6 linked regions of the Rattus norvegicus genome follow. The main gene of each other region encodes a partner of the protein of the gene in region 3 in a complex. Links are inferred from orthologs where the notes say so. Each region holds a gene or a part of one and is shown on either strand. Other genes may lie near its edges. The genes, in order: Ripk1, Aim2, Mefv, Casp8, Zbp1 and Ripk3.

The links.
Region 1: Mefv (region 3) and Ripk1 share a complex: the UniProt entries of both Homo sapiens proteins name them as parts of the AIM2 PANoptosome complex. The link is inferred for Rattus norvegicus from reciprocal best matches to the Homo sapiens genes MEFV and RIPK1.
Region 2: Mefv (region 3) and Aim2 share a complex: the UniProt entries of both Homo sapiens proteins name them as parts of the AIM2 PANoptosome complex. The link is inferred for Rattus norvegicus from reciprocal best matches to the Homo sapiens genes MEFV and AIM2.
Region 4: Mefv (region 3) and Casp8 share a complex: the UniProt entries of both Homo sapiens proteins name them as parts of the AIM2 PANoptosome complex. The link is inferred for Rattus norvegicus from reciprocal best matches to the Homo sapiens genes MEFV and CASP8.
Region 5: Mefv (region 3) and Zbp1 share a complex: the UniProt entries of both Homo sapiens proteins name them as parts of the AIM2 PANoptosome complex. The link is inferred for Rattus norvegicus from reciprocal best matches to the Homo sapiens genes MEFV and ZBP1.
Region 6: Mefv (region 3) and Ripk3 share a complex: the UniProt entries of both Homo sapiens proteins name them as parts of the AIM2 PANoptosome complex. The link is inferred for Rattus norvegicus from reciprocal best matches to the Homo sapiens genes MEFV and RIPK3.

Annotation. Positions count from the first base shown.
Region 1 is NC_086035.1:31,062,984-31,067,725, reverse strand, and holds part of Ripk1 (receptor-interacting serine/threonine-protein kinase 1), read left to right. Parts: intron 1-1,062; exon of another isoform or gene 1,063-1,174; intron 1,175-1,704; coding exon 1,705-1,933; intron 1,934-3,313; coding exon 3,314-3,463; intron 3,464-4,742. UniProt on the Homo sapiens protein: Serine-threonine kinase which is a key regulator of TNF-mediated apoptosis, necroptosis and inflammatory pathways.
Region 2 is NC_086031.1:88,396,781-88,402,224, forward strand, and holds the start of Aim2 (interferon-inducible protein AIM2), read left to right. Parts: upstream 1-1,841; 5' UTR 1,842-1,934; intron 1,935-5,444. UniProt on the Homo sapiens protein: Sensor component of the AIM2 inflammasome, which mediates inflammasome activation in response to the presence of double-stranded DNA (dsDNA) in the cytosol, leading to subsequent pyroptosis.
Region 3 is NC_086028.1:12,299,680-12,304,421, reverse strand, and holds the end of Mefv (pyrin), read right to left. Parts: intron 4,606-4,742; coding exon 4,583-4,605; intron 2,970-4,582; coding exon 2,854-2,969; intron 2,683-2,853; coding exon 2,390-2,682; intron 2,036-2,389; coding exon 2,000-2,035; 3' UTR 1,842-1,999; coding exon of another isoform or gene 1,833-1,841; 3' UTR 1,089-1,832; downstream 1-1,088. UniProt on the Homo sapiens protein: Involved in the regulation of innate immunity and the inflammatory response in response to IFNG/IFN-gamma.
Region 4 is NC_086027.1:67,785,026-67,789,767, forward strand, and holds part of Casp8 (caspase-8), read left to right. Parts: intron 1-1,832; 5' UTR 1,833-1,860; coding exon 1,861-2,165; intron 2,166-4,742. UniProt on the Homo sapiens protein: Thiol protease that plays a key role in programmed cell death by acting as a molecular switch for apoptosis, necroptosis and pyroptosis, and is required to prevent tissue damage during embryonic development and adulthood.
Region 5 is NC_086021.1:182,418,574-182,424,115, reverse strand, and holds the start of Zbp1 (Z-DNA-binding protein 1), read left to right. Parts: upstream 1-2,098; coding exon 2,099-2,132; intron 2,133-3,749; coding exon 3,750-3,989; intron 3,990-4,943; coding exon 4,944-5,135; intron 5,136-5,542.
Region 6 is NC_086033.1:33,259,226-33,263,491, reverse strand, and holds the start of Ripk3 (receptor-interacting serine/threonine-protein kinase 3), read left to right. Parts: upstream 1-1,466; 5' UTR 1,467-1,722; intron 1,723-2,167; exon of another isoform or gene 2,168-2,303; intron 2,304-4,163; exon of another isoform or gene 4,164-4,191; 5' UTR 4,192-4,266. UniProt on the Homo sapiens protein: Serine/threonine-protein kinase that activates necroptosis and apoptosis, two parallel forms of cell death. Necroptosis, a programmed cell death process in response to death-inducing TNF-alpha family members, is triggered by RIPK3 following activation by ZBP1.

The sequences.
Region 1 (4,742 bases), on a different chromosome or scaffold from region 3:
TATAGTTGATCATGATAAAAGAGGACCTAGCTCAGCACGGAGCACGGTGCTGCTTGCAAGGCTAGCATAGTACAAGGTGTGGGCTTGACTGGATTGAAGGATACGATGAAAAAGATCTCATCCCTGGTTCCTGGGTTTTGTTTCCCTCTGATTAGATTTGGAAATGGAAACACTGAAGGGTTGCTACCTTCCCTCTGGAATGGGCTATCTGCTCATCATCTTTCCCAGGAAATCTTGTGACTGAGACTTCTCCACCCTGGAGAGAAAGGGAGTATAGAAGTGTGTGGAGACTATTCTTAAAATTCAGAAAAGGCTTAAAAGCAGTAGTAAGTCAACCATTTTGGCCTCAGAATCCTCCACTTTGTGGACCAAGGGGCATAGTTCAGTGGAGAAAACTAGTCTCGCACATCTTTGGTCCTAGACTCAGTCCTGGCTCTCCAAGACAAAGACTTCTGCTTTGACATCCTGTTTATGTCTATTTTCATTTAAGGAGTCAATTTACTTTTGAAAATTCTTTTTATCATAGCAGAGGTAATAAGGAAAATGCAGCCTATTCAGGAGCTACATGTAACTGAGGAAGCAACAGCACACATAATTAGTCTTGGTAGCTAGAATCCAAGCTGGAGACCTGAAGGGGGACCAGATAGCTCAGGGCCAGAGTTCTGGGTTTCATCCCCACACCTACACCAACAAGAAACAAAAAGATCCTGAAAACATTTAGCACTGGGGAAGAACCAGGACCTGCCTACAAGATCCGCATCAGACGCCATTCATGTCTCAGACGGCTGTTAATCCCAACGTCTTTTTTTCTTTCAATTAAGAACTTATCCTTTGTGTTCTGGGTTAAAATCTGTGCATTTCATGTAGGCACATGCTCTATCTAGCTCCTCCCTAAATGCTTCTTAGAGGCAGAAGAGGACCACCTCCTTGGATTGTCCCGTAACTGTCCTCCTCTGCCATTTCCCCTTGCCACTTTATTCTTTGCTGCGTCTGACTTGGTTATCTTTTTCTCTGCCTTTATGTGTGTTTCGATTTCCTTCTCTCCATCCTGTCTTCTCTTAGGTGCAAACTGCCAACACAAAACAAGTAGCAGCAACAGTCCCACCCTCAGGGTGGCTTTGGGATGCTCAGAGAAACAACCACGGTCCTCTGGATGTTATTGGGCAAATGAAAGGTGTGGTAACCAGTCTCTGTCTTCCCCAGAAAAGACCAAAACAAAAAAAAAAAATATGCAAAGTAAATGAGAAATTAGCACAAACACAGTTTTGTTGTCTTGCCCCAGTGTTATTGGTTAAGAATTGAGATGCCAAGGCCCCAGCAAGATAGCTCAGCTAGTAAAGATACTTTGCTGCTGGGCTTGAAGACCCAAGTTCAATCCCAGTATGGAGCGAAAGGACTTCTGCAAGTTGTCTTCTGACTCACACACACATCTTGAAATATGCGCCCCCTCAAAATAAATAAAAATAAATAAATAAATAAATGTTTAAAAGAAACTTTAAAAAATAATTGATATGCTAGCATTTTACATGAACATTCTGAGAGTCTATTGAGAGGTAACTATTCTAGATAGGCCCATGCAGCAACTGAAAAATTGATTGTGCCACACATGTACTGGATAAGCCCCAGACTTGAATTCATGAAAATCCAGTTTGATTTACTCATAAGCCTTCGTGATGAGTTCCGTTGGCCCCTCTTCTCTTCCAGATAGCCGATCTTGGTGTGGCTTCCTTTAAGACATGGAGCAAACTGACTAAGGAGGAACACAACAAGCAGAGGGAGGCCAGCAGCGTCACCAAGAAGAACGGAGGCACCCTCTACTACATGGCACCGGAACACCTGACTGACATCAACACAAAGCCCACAGAGAAGTCAGATGTGTACAGCTTCGCCATTGTGCTTTGGGCAATATTTGCTAATAAGGAGCCCTATGAGAGTAAGACATGTATAGTCATGGGACTTTGATAGTAATGAAAACCGTTAGATGAGGGTTGGTAAGAAGGCTCAGTGAGTAAAGGCCTTTACCACTGACCCTGACAACCTGAGTTCAGTCCAAATTCCAGGACTTATGTGGAGAAGGAGGGAACTGACTTCTGAAAATTGATCTCTGACTTCTCTGTACATGCACTGCAGCATGCAGATATATCTCCTACTCTCTCTCTCTCTCTCTCTCTCTCTCCCCTCTATTCTCTTTTCTTTCTGTCTCTTGATGTACACAAACACTCCCACACTAAATTTTTTAAATATCATTTTTAAACATAAACTGATACCCTTTAGTTAATTCTGTTAAAATCTATAATTGTTCATTTAATTGCTTTCTGTAGTGTCATAAAGGCCAATCCCATATCTAATTTATTCACTGCTATTTATTTAGCAGATACACACACATACCCACCACGGGGGGCGGGGGGCGGGAAGCACCAGCCTGAAATATTAGGTACCGAGGAGACCTTTGTTGGATTAGTCATCCCAGTTTAGGATGGGGTGAGTAGACTCCTTTATAATATAGCTCAGCTCAGTATTCTTCCTGGAGTGGGGACAGCCATACTTTGATTCTATTTGTGAACGAGCCTTTTTCATTACTTACTGTGGGCAGTTCAGTCAGCTGGAATGTAAAGGAAACTAAGTCGTTGTTTGTACAGGGAAAAGTCATCCTTCCATGTGTGTAAAGAAATGACTGCCTTCTATGACTTCTTCATGATTACCAACACCAATAGATCAGGGATCTGGTGACTCTTAAACCTTAGTCTCTGACCATGACCAAGACATCCACAGATCTGTTAGACCCAGCAAGTATACCACAGGAACCTCCAAAATAGCATCCCCTGAAAAAGTTGCCAAGTTTATCAGCACAGTACAGGTTGTTTACCACCCGCACTGAATGGCACAATAAGCAACTTTAACTGTTCTCATCTTGATTGTTTTTACCAAAACCCCTCATTCTTGATTCTAGAGTATCGGTTATCATGTATATGTTTAAGTCACTCTCATTAATCTGAGCTTCTTAAAGCCCTGGCCATCCTGTATTTGCCTCTGTATTCTATGACTTTACCCATTTATTCTGTTTGTTCTGTGAAAAGGTAGCTTTGTTCTGATTTTTTGTCTTTCTTCTGCAAAGTCAAAACATCATCCTATCATTCTGTAGTAGACTACATCAGCTCCTTGCTACAAGGTTGCTACTCTATGGAATGAGACAGCCATGGAAAAAGCATACCCTAGGTAGAGACAAAATAGCAGCATTATCCAGGTCCTGTCATCTTCCTGCTTGAGAGCAGAGTGGGACTGAGCCCTAACTGAAGTTCACCCCTCTTTGCAGATGTCATCTGTACTGAGCAGTTCTTGGTCTGCATAAACTCTGGGAACAGGCCAAATGTGGAGGACATCCTTGAGTTCTGTCCAAGGGAGATCATCAGCCTCATGGAGCGGTGTTGGCAGACCAACCCAGAAGACAGGCCAACATTTTTTGGTAAGAATGGGTTGTATGCCTATTTAGGCTGCATCTGACAGGATGGCACTCTTCAGCAAGGTGACACTGGTAATTTAGTTTCTTTTCCTGTTGCTGAGACAAAGAGGACAAAGCAACTCGAGGAAAAGGTATATTTTGGCTCAGTTCAAGGGTACAGTCTACCATGGCATGGTGGGAGGTCACAGTAGCTGGAGCCCGAGGCAGCTGGCCACACTGCATCTACAGTCACAAAGGAGGCAGACATAGATGCTGGCAGTCATTTGCTCTCTCCTTTTATTCAGTGCAAGGTCTCAGCCCATGGGATGCTGCTGCCCACATTCAGGGTGGGCTTTCCCTGCTTCACACCCCCACAGACACATCTAGAAGTTGGTAAGGAGAGTCAGCCATCAGTTAGGAACATACTTTGAGTACCACTTCACCTGTGGCTTCAAACTGACTGGAAAGATTTCAAACAACTTGTCAATGAAAAGGTCTACCCTTCCACAAAGCATGGGCTTCTTCATTTCCTTCTTTAGTTTGGGGAATTAGCGTTGTTATTGTAGCACATATGCTTTCCATCTTGTAAGTATACTGTCTAGTGGTGTGAAGTCCATTCCATTTTCAACAATACCTACCACTATCCATCTCCAAGATCCCTCAGCCTAGAGCACAACCCTGTGCTCAGGAAGTGTTAGCTCCACTTCCCCTTTCCTCTCTCCCCTCTCCAGCCTTAACAGTCACTATTCTATTGACTCTGACTGCACCAAGTATCTCATGTAAGCAAAAATTGCACAATACTTCTATTTTGTATCTGTTGTATTTTACCAGCTGTCTTTAAGGTCCATCCATGTGACAGAATGTGTCAAAATGTACTTTTTATTGCAGAAAAATATTCTACTCTGTAGATAGTTTTTGTGAGTGTGTGTTCGTCTGTTGATAAGTACTTGGCCTAACTATTTCTAGCTTCTTTCACTTATATGCCTCCTTAGTTGGCACCTTATTGGCATCCTTAGAAATTAATTCTGGCATATAGGCTGGCCCTACAGTTGAGGAAAAGGAAGGAGACACGAGCATTTGGCCCATCCCCTAGACTACCTAGGAGTGTGAAGTAGGCCAAAGGAGAAAAGCAGAGATACAATAGGAGCTACTCAGAAATGTACACAGCATCATATTGTTGTATTTCTGTGAGAAAACAGAACTGGAGTTCCAGCCATTCCCACTTTGTAAACCAAGCTGACCTCACATTTACAGAAATACCATGCCTCTGCCTTCTGGTTGCTGTGATTACAGGAATGCACTG
Region 2 (5,444 bases), on a different chromosome or scaffold from region 3:
GGCAGAGAAGAATGAAGGTGAGGTTTCCAACTAGAAGAACGAAGGGCTACAGTTAGAAGAAAACCAGCATTGAAGCAGATGCTTACAACACCCAGCAGAAACCAACACAGGAAGTTAAGGCCGTTAACTTTCTTTCTATGACTGAAAGTCACACTTTAGGCCCTGATACACCATGGTTAAAAAAAAAATGTTGGAAATAATTGACCTAGTTTTTAAGGACATAATATTTTTATTCTTGAGCTGTTTTGCCCTCCCTGTAACAGAGAAGGAAAACTAGACATCCCCAGGCAAGAAGCCTTGGAGGGCACGGTGAGACAAATAACACTCTGAAGTAGCAGGAGGACAAAACCAGCCTCTCACTGAGTAAACGGGGCATGCCAATTTAAAGAAGTAATGTGCACTATAGCTGCTAGGACAATCCTGGGTAATAAAAGAGATCTGATTATGCAGAACCCAACCTTTTTATTGTGTTGATATTTAAATCATAGAAAACCAACCACCAGCAAGTGGGTGGGTGCTGTGCCCAGGGCTGTGTTAGCCCCTTAGGCTATGAGCTCCCTGGCAATACAGGAATTACCTCTCATGGAGTTCCCTATGTCTAAAATACCTCTGGTTGAGACCTCACAGCTGAAGGAGAAATTCTGCTGAGGCTTGTCAGGAAAAGGAAACTGAAAACTAGACTTTGTTTGGGCAGAGCCTTAATATATAATTATTTTGCCCCAGCATCAGGGCTTACTTAGGACTCAGCTACAGGGCTAAGACTTGCCAAGTTTCAAAGTGAAAGGAGGCAGTAAGTACTTTCTGTCTCTCAAGACCTGATTTTCATGATTTTCATGTCCTACCACTAATAGTGAACATCTTTGTGAGGTGAATGGTTTGAACTATCAGGATTTACACCAGTCCCCGAATTGAGGACTTAGGCTGCTGCAGAGAGAAAAATCCAGGGAGGTAAGTAAGGTATGTCAGAAATTTTCCGGAAAAAGCTTTAGGACCATTTTGCTAATCAGTAAATTAGGAGGAAAGAGGAGTCATGGGCTTCTGTGGTTAGAAGGAAGGATTATATTCCAGAAAAGAATAAGGCTGCAGGGAGCCTGGTTCTAAACCCTCAGTTGACTGTGGAACACACGTTATCTTTTATTGTACTACAACTGAGACCTTTACAAAAGAAAGTGCATTTGGTTGTGGCAGGAATTAGAACATATTGTTCAGAGGGTTGACCCAGACTGAGCCTAAAAGGAACTCTGATTTTCTGGGTGTGTTGGTCTGTAGGTGTTTTATTGACATGGATTTATATTTAGAAGAGGGTTTTTGGTTTCTAGCTGAAGGGGAAAAGCAACATAGGGGGTAGAGAGCAATTTCTCGATATAAGTTAAGAATAACGGCATGGCAGAAAGCCTATGATGTCACATTAGCTTGAAAGCATGGAGCTTGAAACTCTAAGTAACCTTCCCATCGAAGACATGTCAAGTCAAGCAGATCATGTTATTCCATAATCCCAGATGTTCAAGTGGCCCGGCATTTTTTCAAAAATTATGTATGCTTTTAATCTCCATTTCCTTTACTTTATTAGGTATTAGAAAATTCATTTCGGTCTACTTCCAACTGGATCCCACTTCTTTCCCACTTCCGTAGTGAAATCCCTAGAATTTGGGGGAAAGAGTGTTCCTATGATATCTGCAGAGGTTTGTATACCTGCTGGTGGCTTGGGAAGGTTTTGGGACTTTCACAAAGTAGAACTTACTGGAGAAACCTTATTGGAGGAAGTGGGACACTGAGGGCGGGCTGTGAGAGGTGATAGGCTGTCTCACTTGTAACTCTGCTTCCTGTATGAGAAAGAATTACAACTCGCCTGCCTCCTGTCCTGCCTGCTGCCACGCTTTTCTTACTGGCTACTATGTTTTCCCTGGCCTGAAGAACTCCACCCTCATGGACCTGTAAGTAAAAATAAAATCTACTTCTCCCCTATGCTGCTGATGTTCATTTTATCAAAGCAGAAAAGAAACTAATACAGTAACGACTCTTTGAAAGTCACTGATAACCTTTGTGCCCTTACTGAAAGCGTGGTAGATATTTCTAAGTATGGATCAGAACATAGTTGTTAATTATGTTTTTAAATCTTTTTGCTTTTTATGTTATTTTATTCTTGGCTATTTAAAACTTTAGTTATCGAAGGAACTGTTTTGTAAGTCCCGATCCTCAAGGCACATTTGTCATTTGTTCATGGAGAACTGTCAGACTTTGTTCACAGCTGTTGGCTTTACTCAGTGAGGGGCATACTGTTTAGAACTGTTATATTTGCCTTAGTGACTTTAACATTTAATCATTGTATAGCAACTCTGTCCTTAATGGCACTATTTGTCTTAGAGTCTTCTCTGACTAATATTAATAGAGCTGTTCTAACTAGGGCTTTTGTGCTTAGTGCCTGATACATAGGTCCACATTTCTGCTTCGCGACTCTTCAGCACTTCAGTTTCCCCAATGTATCTTTTGTAAACACCCTAGGAGCCACAGTGGGTTTTAATCCAGTTTAGCATTCCTTTTAAACCTGTGAGTCTAATTCATGTGTGTTCTGTCCATTGAGATATTTGAATCTTGTGTGACCGTCTTATATCCCTTCATATGATGTTTCCTTTTCCATGTCTGTTTTCTTCTTTTTAAACAATTCGCTTAAGATTAGTCTTTATACAGAATGATGCCTACTGTGATAGTCGTGTTTTCAAAAGTACCATTCATACATCTCGCGGGGACATGCCATTTATCATTACCCAGAAAATGATTTCTGATGTGGGTTTTGGGGAAATGCTGTAACGTAGAGTTTACTGCTTCAGGGAGGTGAATGAGCACACAGCATAGCCACTCTGAAGTGGAAGGCCCTGTGTGATTTAGTACATAGACAAGGCTGTATACCTTCCCCTGAATCTAGCTCCAAGATATGAGACTTGCTCTTTCTATTTATCCCCACAACTGTTTAAATATTACCTTCTCAAAGAGACACAGTCACTACCAACTTGAGTTACACCACACAGGCCCAGCCCACGTTCTTAATGAAAACTATGTGCTATACATACTTATACTTGTTTTGGAAATAGTGAAGAAATCTTGTCTGATTCATGACTCACTTCCTCTCAGACTTGTAAGATGCCTGACTGGACAAAATGAGCTGATTTGTGAACAACGGCTGTTGATTTCCTGGTTTATCTCTCAAATGCGTCTCTTTTGCATTTTTTATTTTAAAAAGGAGTTTTGCAAGTTTTTAAGACATACGGGTTGGCTGTTTAATCACAAGTTCATAGGGAGTGTAGCAAAGTTTGGGTCTTTTGGGATACTCCCATGACGCAACTGCATAATCTGTCGTGGGGGCAGCCCGACCTGCAGCAATCATTCTCAGGGGAAGGCATGTTGGTACTGGCACGGCGCTGTGTGGTTTGGAGAGCTCTCTCTGCCATGTTACATATTAAATCCTCATAGTACCATCTCCTGCTGTCCATATTTAACTGATGGCGAATCAACCCCATGAGATAAGTACAAGTTAGGGTCAGAGCCTGATTTATATACTCCTGTCTTGGTACCACCTTTTACTAGGGCATTTTTCTAAGTTAAATCTGGACACCCATCTGTAGTTGTGATTTTTGGAGATTTGTAAGAAGCCGTTCAATCGACATCAAGTAGTGACCTGATATATAGCTGCTCACCACGGGAACAAAGCCTTAGGCATCTGTTGTCCAGAGTCTGGTGGAGTGGATGTTTGTCGTGAGGCTTTTCTAAGAAGAAGAATGCTGTCTGACATTTCAAAGTCTCTTTTAGTTGCTTGCTCTCCCCATAGCATGATAAATATAAACTTCACACTATAATAATAACATATGTTGTGCACACCAGGTGTCAGGTATACCTTATGAATTGCATACTTATGTAATTTAGCCACATCTCACGTGGAGTCTGTGCAGTAGGGACCATCAGACGATTCTTCATCAAAGTACTAGAAAACATCTTTGATCCCATCACAGAGCTAGAAAGTGAAAACATGTAATTCTAACACATGTAGTCTCTGTACCAGGAAAATATCACCCAATAGAAATATAATATAAATAAATACACTTACATTTTCTAGTAGCTACCTTAAAAAACAAAAGCAAAACCCAATAACAGCAGCCCAATATGTTTGATTAAAGTCAAAGTATCCAAAATATTTACTGAGTCTTCAAAACTCTGGCATATATTTTGTTCTCAGAGAACGTAATTTCTGGTGGTAAATTTTCATCTATATTTACATTTATATTTATATATATTTAAAATTCACAAAATTTACAGTTGAAAATGTAGGTTTACATATTCAAGTAATTTTAATCACACTGATTTTTCTAGAAACCAAATTGAGTTTGTTTTTAATTAAAATTAAATATAATATAAAATTCAGTCCTGTCAGCTGCACACATGAAATATTTGAGAACTGCATCTAGTTGTTGTAAGCAGGTTGCTCTGGAATTCAAGCCTGTTTTCTATTTGTTTACTAATTAACTGATTAATTGATTTCTGGTGTGTATGTGTGTGTGACATACATGTGTGTGTCCGTCTGTCCGTTGGTCTGTCTGTCTGCGTATGCATGCCAGAGTTCAGGGTGGGGTATCTTCCTTGATTTGCTCTCCATTTTATTCTTTGCAACAGGGTCTTCTCCTAATGAACCTGGAACTCAAATGATTTGGTTGGGTTACTAGGCCAGAGAACTGTAGGGATCTACCCATCTGTCTTCCCAGTTCTGGAATTATAGTGCGTCCTTTGTGCCCATCTTTTAACATGGGAGCTGGCAGTTTACTAATTAAGCCATCTCCCTAACCTCTATAATTCATATAGAGATTCAGTTGCAGAATAGAATCACTCTTTTCTCTGTGCCTCTGCTCCAACTGCCCAATCCTGGAAAAAGCTCTTTCCACCTTCTCCTCAAGGGTTTTCCAGGTTTCTCTGACTTTCATCCCATAATATCCACAATGTCTCCTCATATTGACTTTAACACACAACTGTCAGACCCTGCATATATCTAAACATTTGCTTGGAGAAAGGCAAAATGCTTTGCAGAAGAAAACACAAACAAACTACAGGTAAGAAAAGTCAAGATGAGAGCAAGCAGCCAGAGAGCTATAGCAATCCCAGAAGAAAATAGCAGCCAGAACAGATTGTGTACCAGAACCCTGGGATTAATGAGGTTCCAAACTAGCTTGTGAAGTTATTTTTGAAACCCTCTCACATCCTTCTTTTTGGTGGTATGGTGATATAGGGAAAGTGGCATTGTCCTTTGGAAAGGCTACTGAAGAAAAAAAAATGAGAATGCAGGCAAAGCCTACTGGGTAATGTAAAGAAAAGGAATCAGTTGTGAGCCTCGCCTCTCTTGCATTCTGGTCAGAGCTGAGCACTAACTTAAAAATAGAGACACAGGTTATTTTGGTCATGTT
Region 3 (4,742 bases):
ACAGATGCATCTGAAGAATGGTTTGAGGTTGATCTCCACTCTACGTGTGCCATATACCCCCACATTCACACATATGTGAACAATCATGCAGACGGGCGCGCACACACACAAAGGTAGTATTGTTACCCAGTAAAATATGTACAGCCTGCCTTCATAGTTATGTCTAAATCACTAGATGTTAATGTAGTATGACACAAGACAACAAATAGAATAAATTAAAAGACAAGTTGCAAAAGGGTATTTTATAATAATAGGAATAGCAGCAGACTGCCCGAAAGGAAACGGATACGTAATTCTCTTCAGGTCTGAGATCTAGTAGAATGTAAGGGTCTCTGGACCACGGTTGGGCCTGGAGGTGGGAGGGAGAGCATTGGAAATACAGTACATGATACGGAAGCTTAAATGTGCTGGTTCCTGTAAAGACATCACCTTTAAAGCCAGAAAGATGCTTCCTTAAGAAAACAAACGAAGCAAGGAGAGCATGCTCCTCTTGGGAGTCTGCTTACTTTTCTTCTCTGTAGGTTTTATGTGTCCTCAAGACCAGGGCAGACAGAATGATGGGCATATTCTTCCCTGGGGAAGGAACATGGAATGGCTCCTCTGTCTCAAGAACGTCTGAGAGTACCAATTCTGGCTGTGTTGTGAAACAGCCACGCACTTCCTCTTCTCACCGCCACGGGATGCCGTTGCGGTGGACGGCCCCTTTGCCTTTGATCGACAGTATCAGAGTTCCTCTGCTAGGGTTTACTGTGCTTCTTGCATACTGTGTTGGCTAATGTTGTCAACTCATCAGGATTTAGTGTCACGCATGGGACAAGTGCCTGGGCATGTGTGTGAGAGTGTACCTTGAGTAGGTTGGTCGAGGAGGGAAGATCTACCCTATAAATGTGGGTGGCAACATTCCCTAGGCTTGAGTCCTAGACGGCATAGTGAAGGGAAAAGACAGGCTTTTGAAGGCCGTCACTCTCTGCCTCTTGATGGCAGATGCAATGTGGTCATCTGCCTCACGTGCCTGCCATGTGGCCCTCTGCCAGGATGCTCTAACCCTTCAACTATGAATCAGAATAAATGCCTCCTCCCCCAGTTGCTTTGTCAGAATATTTTATTACAGCAATAATAGTACTAAATAATACAAGTACAATATTGTTTTTTCTTTTTGACGGCTGGACCCCAGTCAGAGTAACCCGAATCCATCCAGTTAGACTCAAACTCACGGGTACCATCCTGCCTCAGCCTCTCAGTTTATTATCTTCCTATTCATTCCATTCCTTGCACCAGCTGACACCTTTTTAATGACTTCCGAGTGCATGAATGTGAGGCATAAGCCAGAATGTTGGCACAGTGTTGGGCGCTCGGTGAAGTATCTGGTCACTGGCAGGACTGAGGGTCCAAAGAGCTATGTTGTTCTTCATGTCCCCAGGGTTAAAGGCAGGTTGACAGGAACTGGAGGGGAGAAGCCAGAGGCCAGGTACATGTCATGTTGCTCCTAGCTGTGTAGTCTAGAAAGCTGCCCGCCTGCTTGGGGCCACCCTCATTCACAGGCTGGAGAAATGTGCCTTCCTGTTGCGTTGCTATTATTACCACCAGGAGCCATTCTCCACTGAGTTATAGTCCCCTTCCTGCTCGCCAGAGCGTTGCAAGTTCCTGGGACTCTGAACTGTCTTGTCTCCATACTCCACCTCCCAGTGACAGCCGCTGGAGTCCAAGACAGGAGTAGTCCCCAGCATGGTGATGTAACTTTAGAACCTCTGGAGAGTGTCAGGCAGCAGGTCCGTGCACTCTTCGTATCACCACAGAAGATGAGGCTGGGGTGAACAGCTGCTAGGTCCCAGTCACGACAACTGCAGGAAGAAGAAGACCTAGCTGGGATGGGGATGTGTGGGCTTCTCCCAAGGCGCTCCCAATCTAAGGAAGAGGGAGTTTACTGAGATTGCGGTAGGGGACAGGAACATACAGGGACCCGGTGTACCAAAGCCAGTACTTGCCTTGATTTAGGCATTTACCAGCATGTTCTTAAGCACCTGTCGGTTCTGGACTACAGAGGGGGAGGGGGGAAAGAAAGGTGGAATAAAGTTTTAAGTATGTCCATTCAGGAGGTCTGAATTATACTCTCCCCACAAGGAAAGATGAGGACTCTCCTTCTTAGGGCTCTGAAGCCTATGTTAGTCATCAGCCAAGATCTCCCAGGCACCCTAAACACTGAAGCTGTTACTTCGATCAACAAGGCAAACACAGTGGGACCAAGCAGAGCTGTGAAGCCCTTTATGACCTGTTTTATGCTTCAGTTCTAGGTGTATCCCCACCCCTCCACCTTCTGAATCATTCCCCAGAGCAACAGATAAAGGATAATTACAAAAACCCTTGATGAGCTCGTTACCACCATACTTACGAAGGAAGGTTTCCACTTCAGGAAAGATTTAAATTTTCTTTTGTTGTTCTGAGAATGGATCTCGTGTAGCTCAGGTGTGTCTTGAGCTGACGACGGATGAAGGTAATCTTGAGGTTCTGATCCTCCAGCTTCCAGCTCTGCGCAAAGTATTACATCGAAATCCTGTGTGTGTGCACCATCACACTTTAGGTGAACGGTGGGGATCAAGGCCTGGGCCTTGGTTGTGCTAGGCCTGCACCCTTCCCGTGTTGCTACATCTGAAGCGCTGAATGCCATTTCGGAGCCCAGCATTTCTAAAATAGAGGAAGGAGAATGGAAGAAACTGAGTGAGTGAACGAGTTAGAACAGAAAGAAGCTGGAGGCGGGGTCAGAAACGATTTGTTGGTGGGGAAGTGAATCTGAGCTGCCTGAACCCCAAGGAGGAAACGAGCGGGTACTTTCCACCTTCCTCAGAGCTCGCTGACCTGAGAAACGCTGCATATTCTTCTCGGCGGACTTTGATTTCTGGTAGAGCAGGTGCAGTTTTTCTTTAACGCCTGGAGGAATGCCCAACAGCTCAGAGGCAGTCATCGTCTCAGCCCTAGAGACAAGAGATTGTCAGCCAGAGAGGACAAGATGTCGTCTGCAGCCCCATGAGGTGACAGACTGTCCCGGCTCAGGTGACGCCAAGAAGTCTTTCCTAGACTCAAAACTCTGACACTGGTCCTCACCTTCAGCTGCACACTGGGCATCTTTGAACTACTGCTATAAAGATCACAGTGAGTTTAAATGGCAGCCTTAAAACTGAGTTAGTCGGGGTTGGGGATTTAGCTCAGTGGTAGAACGCTTGCCTAGCAAGCCCAAGGCCCTGGGTTCGGTCCCCAGCTCCGAAAAAAAGAAAAGAAAAGAAAAAAAACTGAGTAAGTCTTGCTGTCAGAGTTCTCTGTGTCAAATGAATTATACTTTACTACTTCTATTGAAAGGGAAAAAAAAGAACAACGAATGCCAATTCACTCCCATTAGAGTGGCTATTATAACAGCAATGAAAAACAGTAAGGGGAAGTTATAAGTTGATAACAAAGAGGTGGAGAAATGAGCACCTCGGGAGGGGATATAAAATGACACATATACCACTGGAAATAATGTGCAAGTTCCTTAAAAATCTCTCGATGGGGCGGAAATACAGTAGGTGCAAAAATCTGAGAAACTAAAGGCAGAGTCTGGAGCAGCACTTGTACTGTGCACATAAAAACACTGCTCCCAATAGCCCAAAGGCAGAAACAGTCCAAATGTCCATCAACAAATACTCTGTGGTAGCTGCATCCAAAGGGGAGTCTCTTGGCAGTTAAATAGAGTGGAATTCTGACGCAGTTACAGCACGAATGAGCTGTGAAAACGTGTGGCATGAAAGCAAGCTGAAGGCTAAGGGACAACTCGCATGGTTCTGACGACATGGGGTGTTTAGAACAGTCAACCTAATAAGCAAGGAAAACCAGACTGGTGGTTGCCAGGAGACAGGGGAGGGAGGATGAGGAGTTAGTGTTCAAGGGTACAGAGTTCTTGTGTGGGAAGACAAAAAGGTTATGGAGTTAGATGGTGCAAGCAGGTGCACGCCAACACAGATGTATTAGCATTAGTGCACTGCAGGCATAAAATAATTGAGACTTTATGATCTGCATATTTTAGTGGGAAAATCATTTTTAAATCCCACTAACCCCCAACTCCCAGCCTCGGGACTGGGATTTAGTCACTGTGGCTGAGGCCTGGAAACCAGGATTTTGTAAAGTTCCTAAGTGACTCTGGGATGTAGCCTTTTCTAGCTCACCTTTCTCTTCCCCTGCCTGCTTGGCTTCACCCACTTTCAAATCAACCCCCAGGGACACCCCTCTTCCCAAAGTGCTTGAGATTAGAGGCAGTTCTGGGAACCCTGTCACGAAACAAAAAACATCCATCCGAGAGGTTTCTTAGGGAAGCACCACTTGGGTTAGGCAGGACTGGGGTACGTTCTTTCTTCCCAGTAATCCATTCCTGCCCTCCCCACCCCCACTTGGTCAGACTCCCATTTTGTTCTTCCCACACAAATCCAGGAATGATGGCCTCAGGAAGCTTCAGGAAACAGAGCTCTGGGTTACAGACCCAGCTCCTTCCTAAGACTGTATCATCCAAATGCTTTCTGCTAGACACCCAAGGGGATACCATGGGATCTCTCTGCACCTGTGCAAGGTGGCTCCAATGTCCTAGGAGAGAAAAAAGGGAAGATCTCCATTAACAGTCTCCAAGAGTTGTGACTCCCTGGATGCAAACTGCTCTCTGACTCCCAGTCCTAGGGCGCCAGTAAACAGGCTCATTTCTCCTTCATGGTAATTCTAATCAC
Region 4 (4,742 bases), on a different chromosome or scaffold from region 3:
TCTTTTCAGTCTCCTTCTTGTCTGTAGCCAAGGTCTTCAGGGGGTCTCCCTTCGTCATGGTTGATTTTTATCTACTTAGAAGGAGCCCATAGCTTTTCTTTTCCTATGGAAATATAAGCAGAACCTCTCCCCTAGTAGATTACATTTCTCGTTTTTCATTTTGATGTTAGAATTCTTAAAACAAATAGACTGGTCTAGTTCAGCAGTGCTCCACAATCTAATGTCTTTCAGCAACCATAGTTTTTGGTTCATTAGCATTTAAAAATTTTTTCCCGGCCCCCCCCCCAGCATTTAAAAATTTTAAGGTTAGTAAAACACTATGTAATCTATTTCTGAGGGCTGAATGTTAAGTATCTCTTAGAATACGACTAGGTCTCTCTACAATTGCTAGCCCTGTAGGATCATGTGACATGCCTGAAACATGTTTTATACTAGGTAAAAACTTGTTTCATCTGATTAGACACATATGTTGGACCATTGTTCATTTTAATTTGTATGAGATGTGTAATTATGGAGTCAGCCTTTTCTGAAGCTAAGGCAGTTGTCTATTGAAATCCTGAATGCGTGTCAATTGTATGATGTATAAATCTGAGTTTACCAAACTCTGTAAAGTGGAACACATCCATTTGTCAAATTTCATTTCTTTGGGGACCTTTAGGGTTACTTCCTGTAGGTAAGAGAGTTTGGTTCTATAATGAACAAGTAGGACATTGCCTCACAATTTCCTTGGCTTGTTGTCAAGTGATACAGAATTCTTTCTTTTCTTTAAATCCTTGCTGTTAACATGGTCATTTTTTTCTATTCTCTTTTTTTCATAGCTGGGGACCGAACCCAGGGCCTTGCGCTTGCTAGGCAAGTGCTCTACCACTGAGCCAAATCCCCAACCCCAACATGGTCATTTTTTAATGGAATTTTTAAGCCTCTAGTGGACAGGTCTGTGGTGCATTTTCTTGATCCTGATTTATGTGGAAGGCCCTGCTCACTGTGGACAGTGCCACCGATAGTTTTGGGTGCCACAGGAAAGCAGGTAAAGCAAGCTATGAGGAGCAAGCCAGTAAGCAGCACTCCTCCATTCTCTACATGTTTCTGTCTTCAGGCTCCTGCCCTGACTTCCTTGACTGATGGACTCTATAAGCTATACGAGTAAAGAAACTCTTTCTTGCCAAATTGCTTTTGGTCATGATGTTTTTGCCATAGCAATAGAAACGAACTGAGAACCCTCAGGACCAGGGGTTTCTCCTTCTTGGAGGTTGTCGTGGTTTTAGTGTTTGTTAGTAGCTGAGCGTTATTTGATGTTATCTCAGATTCACAGCTTCAGGAGAAAGGTAGCCTTCTACCCCTCATTTTACAAACAAAGAGTCTGAGGAAGGCAGAGTGTCCAGTGGTATAGCCAGGTTTTGATATAGGAAGAGGCCATGTTCCGAGCCATGACTCTTACTCTCCTCCCTGCAGCGTCACCAACAATCCGTTCTAGCCCCCTGTGGGGTGGCTCTACTGGAGCAATTTGTCTCCACATTTTGTATGCACTTTTCCTTTAAGAACTGCTTTTCTTGTCTCCTCCCCAAAAGTCTCTTGCCCACAGGAATCCCTATTTCCAAGATGGATATGGCACCCAGGAGGTGACTCTGTGACCAGTGGCTTTCTGTATATTTACCTTCCTAAACAAAAGTTTCTAAGAAGCAGGAACTTCCTGTTTTGTTTCATGTTATTCTCCATTTCTTCCCTCTAAAGTGTCTGGAATATGGTAGATAAAGTAAGCTTTTGACAGGAAACAAGCTGGTAGCTGACACTTAACTTCCTCACCTGACCATTAGCAACTTGTGTTGACCCAGGTTACAGCTCTCCTACCCCTTGGTAAGAATGGATTTCCACAGTTGTCTTTACGATATTGCTGAACGTCTGGGCAACGAAGAACTGGCTGCCCTCAAGTTCCTGTGCTTGGACCACATCCCGCAGAAGAAGCAGGAGTCCATCAATGATGTCCTGGTGCTATTTCAGAGGCTGCAGGAAGAGGGGATGTTGGAGGAAGACAATTTGTCCTTCCTGAAGGAGCTGCTTTTCCATATCAGTCGGCGGGATCTGCTGAGCAGAGTCCTAAAAAGCAGCCCAGAGGAAATGGTGAGGGAGCTGCAGGTTCTGGGCAAAGCCCAGGTTTCTGCCTACAGGTGGGTAGAAAGGCTGTGGTGGGGGGCCTGGGAAGTGTGGGCCCAGGGGACACGCCTCTGTGGCATGTGTGAAGTGACGGGCGAGACTGCAGAATAAATGAAGACATGTGGGGGCTAAGTACATAATTCAGAGAAAACTGCTGAACCATAAAATAATGTATCTTCATGCAGCAGGGTGCAGAAGGGGACAGGATGAGGAGAAGGAATTTGGCTGCAGGAATTCAGCCGAGAGAGGACAGTGTTGGGGGAATATGACTCAGTTACTAGGGGACCCACAAAAGACCAGGCTGAACAATGTGCTACGTATGTGTAGTAGTTACTTTGCTTGTGCTGTGATAAAATACCATGACCAAAAGCAATTTATAGAAGAGTTTATGTTGGATTACATTTCCAGAGGGCAAGTAATGACAGAGCTAACATGGCAGCAAGCAGGCACGGTGGCAGGAGCAGGAAGCTGAGAATTCACATCTGCCACACACACACAGAAAACAGAAAGTGTGACCCGCAAGTCGGGTGAGGCCAAACCTCTCAAAGTCTGTCCCCGGGTGATGTGTTTCCTCCTGCAAGGCTCTGCATTCTAAAAGCGTCCTAATCTTCCAAGACAGCCTGGGGACCAAGTGTTCAACTAACATAAGCCAGGAAGGACATTTTTCAGTCAAACCACTACGATGTGTAATTTAAATTTTTCATTTTTCAATGTGAAACATTACCTTCTGGTAGGCTGGTAATGAGATTTTTAAAAAAATTTTTTTTTAAGTTTTAGTGTATAATCGGGCACTGTACTTGCATATGTGTCTATACAGCATTTGCATATAGGCTTCCTGCAGAGGCCAGAAGAGGGCACTAAGTCAGGTGGACATGGAGTCACAGACAGTTGTGAGCTGCCGTGTGGGTGTTGGGAATCGGACCTGTGTGTTTGGAAGAGTCATCAGAGCTCTGTTTGGTTGATTGGTTTTATTTTTTGCTTTTTCATTATTTATTTTTTTTTATTTTTTTTACATCCTAATCAAAGCCCCCTTCCTTTACTCCACCCTCCCATTGCCCTTCTCCCCCATCCCCACCTGGCACTTTAAGTCACAGCAGGACTAAGCGCATCCTCTCTTACTGAGGTCAGACAAAGCAGCCCAGCTAGAGGAAAAGAATCCAAAGGCAAGCAACAGAGTGCTCCAGTAATTGGGGGACCCACAAAAGACCAGGCTGAACAATGTGCTACACGTGTAGGAGGCCTAGGTCCAGTCCTATATGCTCTTTGGATGGTGGTTCAGTCTCTGTGAGCGCCCGTGGGTGCAAGGTAGTTGACTCTGTAAGTCGTCTTGTGATCTCCTTGACCCCTCAGACTCTCAATCCTTTCCCCCACTCTTCCACAAGACTCCCGAGTTCTGCCTGATGTTTGGTTATGGGTCTCTGAATCCATTTCTATCCACTGCTGGATGAAGGGTCTAGGAAGACGGTTATGCTAGGCTCCTGTCTTCTTAAATATTCTAGTTTTCTTCCTCTTCTTTCTTGCTAAAGGAAGTTAAAACACCTTAGGTTTAAAATAATGAGTCTAGGAACCCTGAGGAGAATAGACAAGGATCCCAGCAGGCTATGAGGTAGCCACTTCCACCAGCTCAGGAGGACTGGGCTCTGGAAAAAACAACAAAGCATTTACGCTTTCCCCAAGTAAGTAAACTTGGTAACTTTGTAAGTACACATTGGTACATGCTCTTGCCTGATGTAACAAATTGTAAGGGACAGGATTGTGGGTAATGATGACTCCTAAGAGAGTCTTGGTCTTCTCCGGGAAAGGAACACCCAGACTGCCCCTGTGCTGGGCAAGGGGAGGGGAAATGGAAAAATCTAGAGGTGTGCTCACTTTTTTGGGGGGGGGGGCGTTTCACTTCTTGAAATAAACCGGAAATTCTTTGCATTACCCCTGCCCTGGTGGCGAGGGGGGGGAGAGGAGCTGGGGGGGGGCGCTGGGAGGGTGGGTGCAGGCCTGAATTAATAAGAAGGCAGGTTCACACATCTGTGTGTATCATGGTGGCTCACACTTAAAGCCACAGAAGGGTTGCGTACACAAGTAGGTGGGAAGGGTTGTTATTATGGGAAGCAGCACAAAAACACCTCACCCTGCCTGGAAGTGGCCACCTCCTATAGCCAGGCATGACTTCCAGTGGAAGGATGGGGATGTCAGCCCACCCACAAAGTTTTGCCCTGCCTATAAGATGTGTTTGTAGTCTGGGGCTCCTCAAACATTGCACCTCACAAATCTCAGGTTAATGAAAGTGAAAAAAAGGCATGGGCTGGGCTGTGAGGGGACTCCAGGAGTTTATAAACAGACTGTTGCCATATGAGTTCTCCCTGGTGGGGTGGGAGGGAGGGTAATGAATGAAGGTTCAGTGAAAGAACAGAGCCCTGAGTACACCCTGGCAACGTGGTGTGATTGTAGGTGGGCGATGCATGCACACAACACAGGGAATATTTGGTGGCAGAACACAGGGCAGCTGGTTGTGTTGAGAGCCTTTGGTGTTGGCTAGAGTGGGAGGAAGTGTGTGTGTGTGTGTGTGTGTGTGTGTGTGTGTGTGTGTGTGTGTG
Region 5 (5,542 bases), on a different chromosome or scaffold from region 3:
GCTGCCCACAGTGGTCCGTGTTCTCTCGAATCAGTCAGCAATCACGATATTCTCTCATGGTGTGTTCACAACCGATCCACTCTGGGCAATCCTCAGTTGACAGATGAAGCTACCCACCCCTTCCCTCATCCCCATCCCCATCCCCAACCTTTACTCCTCCTTCCTTTGAGGAGTGCACTCGTGATAGGTAGAATTCCAGCAACCTTTCTAAAACTCAAGGCAAACCCACAAACAGGCTATAAATGGCAGAGCGACAGGATAAAAAGAACCTGGGTGACTGACAGCACCAAGTCTGGGGTACCTGCCAACCATTTGCAAGCAAGAGCAACAACAAAAACAATAACAAAAAGGCACATCTGCACCGTCTAGTCTACGGCCACAGGTGCTGACGGTAGGCCCAATGTTGAAAATTAGCTTGGAATCTTTTCTTTTCTTTTTTCTTTTTTTAAGAAAAAATTTTTTGAAAAACAAATTATGATTTATTTATTGGGGCTGGAGAGATAGTTCAGAGGTTAAGAGCACTGAATCCTCTTCCAGAGGCCCTGAGTTCAATTCCCAGCAACCACATGGTGGCTCACAACCATCTGTAATGGGATCTGATGCCCTCTTCTGGCCTGCAGGGTATATGCAGATAGAGCCCTCACATACCTAAAATCAATCAATAAATAAATCTTTCATAGTCTTAAGATTTATATATTATGTATAGAGTACTCTGCGGGTTGAGGGACATTTTTAGAGGGGTCGCCTAAGACCCTTGGAAAGCACAGATCTTTACATTACGTTACAGTTACATAACAGTAGCCAAATCCCAGTCAGGAAGTGTTGACGAAGGTAATTCCTATGGCTGGGGAATCACCACAGCGTGAGGAACTGTATTAAAAGGTTGCAGAGTTAGGACAGTTGAGAACCGCTGACCTAGGAGGCCCTGACTCCTTCCAGGTCTGCTAATGTAAGGAACAGAAGGGAAGACCTGTAAAGGATGCTCAAGAAAGAAGCGAGGAAAGCGGGCATGTCCTGAAGCCCGGTTAAGTCTGAAGCCACCTTGGCCAGGGATCAAGCAAGACCCCCTGGGCAACAGGCGGTTGGTGAGCAGGCACCACCTAGTGGTCAGTCTCCAAAATGACATCTCTAGGGAACTGGGGCAATGTCCCCCAACAGGCCAGGTTGAGAGCTTGTTTAAAAGCCACCTTATTTATTTTGGGTGCCACAGGCAGTGCAGTTTCTGTTTTCCTTGGCTGGTTCTGCAGGCACTGTTTTTCCTCCCTGGAAGTCATAAAAAGCACTTGGAAATGTTAAAGTTTTCCCAAGCTGTGCGGATCTGGCCTGATGGTGGCCTGCCTGGTGACCTTTTCAGGCTCCGAGAGGTAAAGCTGACTGGGGACCTGCTGCCAGCTGCTTGCTTTGCAGACATCACCTCCTTCTGGTCTCCATTGACTGTTCCTGTCCCGCCCTGTGCACCAGGGACCTGCACACCAGACAGGTCCCCCCACCCTGTAGCTGGGACCCAGATTCAGGGATTATTATGGGCTGAGTGGTGAACACAAGGCCATCTCTGTGAGTCTCCATCCCCCTCTCCCGTAATATGGACAGAGAGGTGTCTGAACTGTTCTCGGGCCGCTGAGAATTTATGAAAGTGAAAGGAGTCTGTCTCTTCTTCTAAAACATATGTGGGTAGACAGTACTAGACCAGGCAGGAGAGGCACCGTGGGTGCCTTTTCCTAGATCACCATCTTCCTCCTCACAGGGCTTTCAGAGTCCTCTTCAGGTCTCACTCTTCCCGTGGGCAGTCCCACCCCAGAGGCCAAGACCCCGCTCTTTTCTGTCACATGGTCTGTCCAACTCCAGCTTCCTCATCCACCCTGATTTTGACAATTCTTTCATTCGAGAATCACACCAAAGTTTCATTTTCTGTTTCTTCAGAAAGCCAGAGGGCGGGGAAGGGGTGCAGCCAGATGGGTATTAGTTTCCGGGGTGGTAACAGCTGGTGTCTGCAGGTCCAAACAAGCATTCTTTCTTGTGGACTCAGAGCCCCAGGCCTGGCCACAGTGCTGGGACCTGCCACCCCCACCCCTAAAAGTGCCCCACGGCTGCTGGGAGCATGGCGGAGGCTTCTGTGGACCTGGGCACGGGAGGTAAGTTAAACTCTTCCTTCACCACCTTTGGGTCCTGGGTGAAGTTTCTACGGCTCCTGGCTGTTTCCTTAGCCCAGACGGCAGCAGGACTCTGAGGTCACCACAGAGAAGTCAGCTTGCTTCAGGGATCCTGTGCCCCAGATCCTTCATGTCCTCTTACCTCATAGATGAGGTCACCAAGGCCTGTGACAGGCCTGGGGCTCTGAACTGTCATCTCGAGAGAGGACTTTGCTTTGATAGGAAGATGTGACTTTGATTTTGTAGTCAAGCTTTTCTCCTGCCCTAGTCAAATCCTTGCTGCAATCATGTAGTCCATCTAGGGGCTTCTGGGCTATGGGAGGCTACGGGGTGCAGGGCTGTGTGAGGCTGCGATGCTGTGGACAGGATTTAATTTACTGCTTGTCTAGGTCCTTCTGGGTTATCCTTTCTTATTTCAGACCTGGAAACATACTAGAAGTTGCTGCTCATAAGCTATCAGGGAGGGGCCAGGCCAGGTGCCAGTTTCTTTCCTGGGCAAAGAAGACCAGGAACTAAAACTCGCCTGACTCCTGTAGTTTCCTAACACTACTAACCTGTCCAGCCTTACCAACTCCAGTCTTCTGCTTCCTAACGTCCCGCTTTCAGACCCTGCAACCAGTCCTTCAAGCCCACCCTTTGGGGAAGGCTTTGCCTCTCTTGTGTGTCTTTAGGGGTCAGTGGGGGAGGGGAGGGGAGGGGAGCCTGCTACACGACACACTCCCCAGCAAAGGTTTCTCAAGGCAAGGCAAAGCCAACCCAGGAATAGAGATGCTAAGTCCTCTAATTCCAGCACTGCAGTGGGGGTGGATCTGGGGCTGAAGCAGGAGGATTGCTGTGAATTTCAAGCTAGCCTGAGCTATATGGTAAGACTTTGTCAGGAGAGGAAAGAAAGAAAGTTAAAGGCAGACACACGGACAAGCAGACGAACCTGCTGAAAGGAGCATGAGGTGGGACTTGGGGGACCCTCGGGGTTAGGCACAGAGGAGGCTGGTTGGCTAGCAGAGGCCCATCGAAGCTCCCGGTGGAGGGATCTGGGGGCAAGCTTTCTGGAGTTGGTGGCCATCTGGAAGATGGCTTCAAGGCCCAGGTAAAAGAACTGAGCTGGGTTTTCCGGGGCTCCTGCTCTATCAGGCATGGGAGGAGAGACCCATTTCTCTTATCTGCTGGACTCCTGACCTGGGAACACCCACACCATAGATGTGGGTGCTGAGCTGGAGAGAAAGGGAGTCCCTGGCCGGGCTGGGAGAGACATCAAGACACCACGGAGGGACTTCAGGGCCAGACTTGGTTTCACACCTCTCCCTCTTGCTCCATCGTCTGAGGGCTGAGGGTTCCTACCTGCTTGACTTCCACATAGTACACAGGGCAGGCTGCATATGACTTTACCACTCCAGACATCTATCTGTGGAGCCAGCGTTCACCTGACTGACACCCTCGCCTCCGACTGGTATCCTCGCTTACTGTCTGCTTGGCCCAGGTCACGGGTGCCTTCTCTGCTCTAGGGTCTCTCCGGAGATCCCTCCTGTGCCCGGAAGCTTGGATGCAGGGTGTCCCCGGGGACTAGGCTTGACTCAGTTCTTCTCTGTGTTCCTCCCCGAGACAACCTGGAGCAGAAGATCCTGCAGGTGTTGAGTGATGCTGGTAGTCCTGTGCAGATCGACCAGCTGTTGAAGAAGTTACAAGTGCCCAAGAAAATCCTCAACCAAGTCCTTTACCGCCTGAAGAAAGAGGGCCGAGTGTCCTCGCCGGCGCCAGCGACGTGGTCCTTAGGTGGAGATGGGGCTTCCGGAGATGGGGCTCCCGAGATCCCTGAGGACTCCGCTGCCCAGCCTAGCCTTGGTAATCTGTCACGTCGGCAGAGCAGAAGCCCCTCCCCCCACCACCACATACACCCCTTAAGAGCCATCTTGTCATAGGCAAGCCCAGATTCAGGCTTGGCTTCAAATCTGAGCTCGGCCATCCCCTCTCTGTCTCTGGATTTCTCCCGGCCAATGGAGCTAATGTTGAGCCTAGGGCTTAGCCATAGAAGGCTTGCAGTAGACAACAGCAGGGTCAAAGACACAACCCAGGCAATAGTCACAGCGAGAGTGAGGGCTGACGGTAAGTAAGGATTCACTCAGAGCCTTCGGGTGACTTTGAGAGCCACGGAGAAGAAAGGACCCACAGTTCCAAGTGCTGACACTGCCCCCGCCCCCCCCCCCCCCACACCAGAGCCATCTTGCCTTCATTCAACCCTCAGACAGAGACAGGAAAGGAAGCAGCCTCAACCTTCAACAGACAGCATCCATGACCCAAGCAGATCGGAAGCCCTGGGACCCAGCCTAATGTGCTGTCCCCCAGCTCTCCGGAGAAACTATTCTGTTTTTAATGGAGCAGGGCATCTCCTGTCTTCAACTGACACATCCTTCTTCCAGTCCCAAGACCCTAATGAGATGTGGGTGCAGCTCCAGAGAGTCCTGGCCTGCATCTCGGTGCATGCTGGAGGCCTCCCCAGACCCCTGAAGCTCCATGGGAGTGTCAGAGGCCAGACTCACTGTTAGAAGAGAGAGGTTCTAAATGGTGAGATGTGGGCTCTGACACCCCTGCGTCAGTCTGCGCCAGTCTCTAGGGTGAGAGCCTCATCCGCTTGGTCTCCAGAGGACCACTGTCCCCAAGATGACCCAATATGTGCTTCTGACAGACCCTCGCCATGTCCCTGGGCTTCACGAGTATCCCAGGCCACAGGCAGTAGGTGGTGGGTAGATGCAAGCCCAGGGCTCTCTTCCCACGAAGCACCTGCCTCCTGCTTTGCAGAAGAAAGGATATTAAGATTCCTGGAGACTAAAGGGCCCCAGAGGGCCCTGCATATCGCCAAGGCTCTGGGAATGACGACGGCCAAAGAAGTGAACCCCATCCTGTATTCCATGAGGAATAAGCACCTTCTGACCGTGTCTGACACACAGATGTGGACCATCTACCGCTCAAGCCAGGAAGGCCAAGAGCGAGGTATGAGAGGTCAAAGTCGGTTTGGGGAGGTCGGGGGTCAAGGGTCAGGTTGGGAAGGTCAAGTTTCAGGTCAGGAAGGTCAAGGGTCAGGATTAGGTCACTGAGGGTCAGGTTGAAGAAAAAAATCAAGGATAAGGATTGGATGGTCTAGGGACAGATTTTTTTGTTGCTGTTGTTGTTGCAGATTTTCTTTTATATTTGTGCATCTTATTTTATCTGTACGAGTGCATTGCCTGCGTGTACACGCACCACATGCGTGCACTGCCTGCAGAGGTTAGAAGAGGGAATCGACCTGGCTGGAATCTGAGTTACAGATATAGCTGTGAGCCACCACGTAGGTACTGAGGCCTGGATCCTCTAGAAGAGCAGCTGATGCTCTAACCACTGGGCAAGGCCTCCAGCCTTCG
Region 6 (4,266 bases), on a different chromosome or scaffold from region 3:
AGGGGCCTAGGATCTGTGAGTAGAATCTGCTAGAACACACTCCACACTCCTTTCTATGAGGGAATGAGGGAGGGCTTTACTTTTCTGAGACAGGAAGCACGGGTGACACATAACCCAGTAACTTTGTGAAGTCATCTCAGCTCGGCACAGAAAAACAAGAGGCTTTGTCTTGCATGGAGTCCTGCAGAAGGATATACTTTCAGCACTGGAAGCCTTCAAAAGAACGCTGCCAGGAGAAGGGAAGGTGGGCAGCAGCCGCTGAGGTCTGCTTCCAGGCAGAAACTTACATTGTATCTCTTTTCTGCCCAAATCCTGACTTCTCCAAGCTCAGCACAGTCCCTCAAAGTGGCAGATTGTTGCTGTTTGGCTTGTTTTTCCTTTGTTTGGTTTTGGTTTGGTTTTGGATTTTTTGGTTTTGTGGTGCCCCCCCCCCCATTAGGGATATTTCTCCCTTTCTGGTGAGGTACATTTTCCATCAGTTAAGGCAGAGACAACGGACCTGTGCTGCCACCTTTTTTTTTAGAATTATTTATTTATTTTGTCTGAGTACACTGTAGCTGTCTCCGGACACACCAGAAGAGGGCACCAGATCCCCTTACAGATGGTTGTGAGCCACCATGTGATTGCTGGGAATTGAACTCAGAACCTCGGAAGAGCAGTCCACCTTTTTTTTTTTTTTAAAAGGTTCCAGGGTTGGGGATTTAGCTCAGTGGTAGAGCGCTTGCCTAGCAAGCACAAGGCCCTGGGTTTGGTCCTCAGCTCCAGAAAAAAAAAAAAAAAAAAAAAAAAAAAAAAGGTTCCTTAACACTTCGGGGTTTTTTTTGTTTGTTTGTTTTGTTTTTGTTTGTTTTTGTTGTTGTTGTTGTTTGTTTGTTTGTTTTTTCCAGATATAACAACAGGTTCTTTTTCCGGTTCCTCAAAGCACCACGAAACTGCCACTGGGTGGGACCAAGACAGAAGAGAATGTAAACATTGGGTTCCATCCCCTGGACTCAAGGGAAGACCCTTATTCAGAGAAGGGCTTGATGGCTGGAAGGGAACAAAATGAAAGAGGCTTTCTGACTCTCAGCATAGAGGCCTGAGCATACAGAGCAAGTGGGTTAGGAGAGAGCTGGACATGGATGGGAAGGAAACGGAGGATACTTCCTAACATATCCTCTTAAATAAACTGGATCGAAGACGCACTGTGGAACGGGGAAAGGACAGAGCACCCACCTCAGGCCAACCTGACCTTCTGTACATAATTACAACACAAGGATATCCAGGAGAGAAAACAGCCTTGGCCCCCACAAAGACAGTGGGGTGACAGGCAGGGCCCCAAGACAGGAACAGGAACCTAGCTCTAACATCTGAGGGAAGCCACTGGAGTGTAAGAATCTGCAACTGCTAACTGCCATTGCCATGAGTCACTGTGGTGACCAAAGGCAAATTAAGACAGCACCCCAGAAGAACTCCATAAGCGTGACAGAGACCCAAGCTGAGCCTAACTGGCCGAAAGAGTCTCCAGACTTGGTCACTGTTACCTGAGGAAAAGTAGCTGTCCCATGCACTGTGGCTGTCCCGGCCATGTAGGGAGCAGCAGCTGGCAAGGAGTCAGGGGAATCAAGCCTTAGAAAGAGGAAGAGTCTGCCAAGGGAGCTGGGAGAGCAGCCCTGCCAGGGCTGCTGTTGGCTGAGGGAGAGGAGGAGGGCCATGCCATCCAGACCCAACAAGAGGTCAAAGGTAAGCATCCTGCCGGGTCTCAGCTGCTGACCTGACCCCACCATCCTGGGGTGCTGGGGGGCCATCTGCCTTTCAACGCAAGGTTTCGGGCCTTGTCCCTTCTTCTCCAGCTTCTGCCCCTTAACACTTTGTTTACATCCAGGCCAAAACAAAAAAGTTTGGGGAGTTTCTAATTTCTTTATCTGCAGTGTGTCTAGCCTCAGCCTGTGGCGAATCGCTAACAGTAAGTATATCGTCTGGGGAAAAAGGCCAACTCTTGTCATGGTTGATGGTAATGTCACATGATGCCTGGGCAGAAAAGGAAACAGAAAGTAAGTTTGTCCTGTGAACTTCCTTGTTGGATTACAACACCCTCCTGAACCGGAAAGCAACACACACACACACACACACACACACACACACACACACACACACATCTCCAAGTTTATCGCTGTCAGAATCTTACCATAGGCAAACTCCATGACCTAGTAATTTCAGTCAGGAACGAAAGGCGGACACCAAAGAGTCTCTGGGTTACAGTAGAGCAGGAAGGAGAGGGAAGCAGCCTCATCTCAGTATAGGACCCCCAGGGAGAACAGGAGGCTGCAATTCAGTACACACCTCATAAATTCATCTCCGAAAAATTAGAATATCAAGTTTTAAATAAGAACATAGAGGGCTGGGGAGATGACTCAGTAGTTAGGAGCGTGTGCTGCTCTTCCAGAGGATGCAAGTTTAGTTCTCAATGACGGAGGCAGGTGGCCCACGACTGCCTCTAACTCCGATTCCAGTGTATCTGACACCCTCTTCTAACCTCATCTAAATAAATAACATAAAAATACAAGAAAATGGGGTTGGGGATTTAGCTCAGTGGTAGAGCACTTGCCTAGCAAGCACAAGGCCCTGGGTTCGGTCCCCAGCTCCGGAAAAAACAGAAAAAAAAAAAAAGTACAAGAAAATAAAAACCATCCACCCATGAACCCCTATTTGAGAACAACTCCTTAGAACATATTCCTACTTGATTACTTAGTTTTGTTTGAGACAGAATCTTACTACATAGACCAGGCTAGCCACAAATTCACCATCCTCCTGCCTCAGCCTCCCTTGTGCTAGGCCAATATATCTATCTCTTATTCAGATATTCTTTTCTTTTTCTTTTCTTTTTTTTTTTATTAACTTGAGTTTTTTCTTTTTTAAAAAAAAAAAGATTTATTTATTTTATATGAGTACACTGTCACTCTCTTCAGACACACTGTGGCACCAGATCCTATGACAGATGGTTGTGAGCCACCATGTGGTTCCTGGGAATTTAACTCAGGACCTCTGGAAGAGCAGTCAGTGCTCCTAACCTCTGAGCCATCTCTCCAGGCCCAGATATTTTTTTAAACAGGTCTATACATACTTCTTTGTTTCGTTTCTTTTCTATTGTTTGAGATAGTCCCTGTCTCACCCTGTAGTTCAGGCTGGCCTTGAATTTGGGAGTTATCAGAAGATGATCTCCAATTCCTCATCTTCTTGCCTAGATCTGCAAAGTGTTGTGGTTACAGGCACACGTTACCAAGCCCAGCTTTTTTACGTTTCTTTTATTTCCCCCAATAAAATTTAATGTTTACACTCAGCCAAAACGCTTATTAACACAGACTGTTAAATATTCATTAATCGATCTTCAGATACCACCACCGCCCCCTTTTGAGGCAAGGTCTCAGGTAGCCCAGGTTGACCTTAAACTCACTACGTAACTATTAATAACCTTAAACTGGCCCCCTGGCCACCACCATCAAAGAGCTGGGATGATAGGATTCCAGGGGTGTTCCACCACTCCTGGTTTACACACATGCTGGGATCCAACTCATGGCTTCTGGCAAGAGAGGAAACCCGCCAAATGATTTACATTCCCTACTCCCTGAATCTCGTTTCTGATACATTAAATTTTATCTTTATCTGATCCTTTTTACTTGTAAAATATGCGTAACTTAAAATGCATCATTTTGCTTACCTAGGAAGCGCAAGGCCCTGGCTGGGTTCGGTCCCAGCTCCGGAAAAAAAGAACCAAAAAAAAAAAAAAAAAGCATCATTTTACACATTTAAAATACATAGTTCGGCGGCATTAACTATATTCATACTGTTGCTGTTATTACCATCCGTTACTAGAACGTACTAAAAAATACAAAAAGGACAGGAAAATACTTTTAAAGTCACAGAGAGATTGGGGGGAGGGGAGCAACATCAGCCAAAACTTCCCATAACTACCGAAATCGCAGGACTGGAGTCACAGCTGAGCACACTGGTCCCCTGAAAAAGAACCTCCTTTAAATTTGGGGAGATAGGCAAGGCTGTAGAAAAGCTTTGTGTAAGGAGCAGGGAGGTTTAATATACATAAGCACACCGGAAGAGGGGAAAATGTAAACATGGACCGTACATCCTGCCAATGTATCTTCTCAAGGAGTGAAAGGATGACGAAAATAATGAAAATGCACTTCCTCTACACAGACTACAAAATTCCTAACGACAGAAACTAAGACTTCAGAAACTCCAAGCTGCATCAAGTTGAGGAAGTATTCAAAC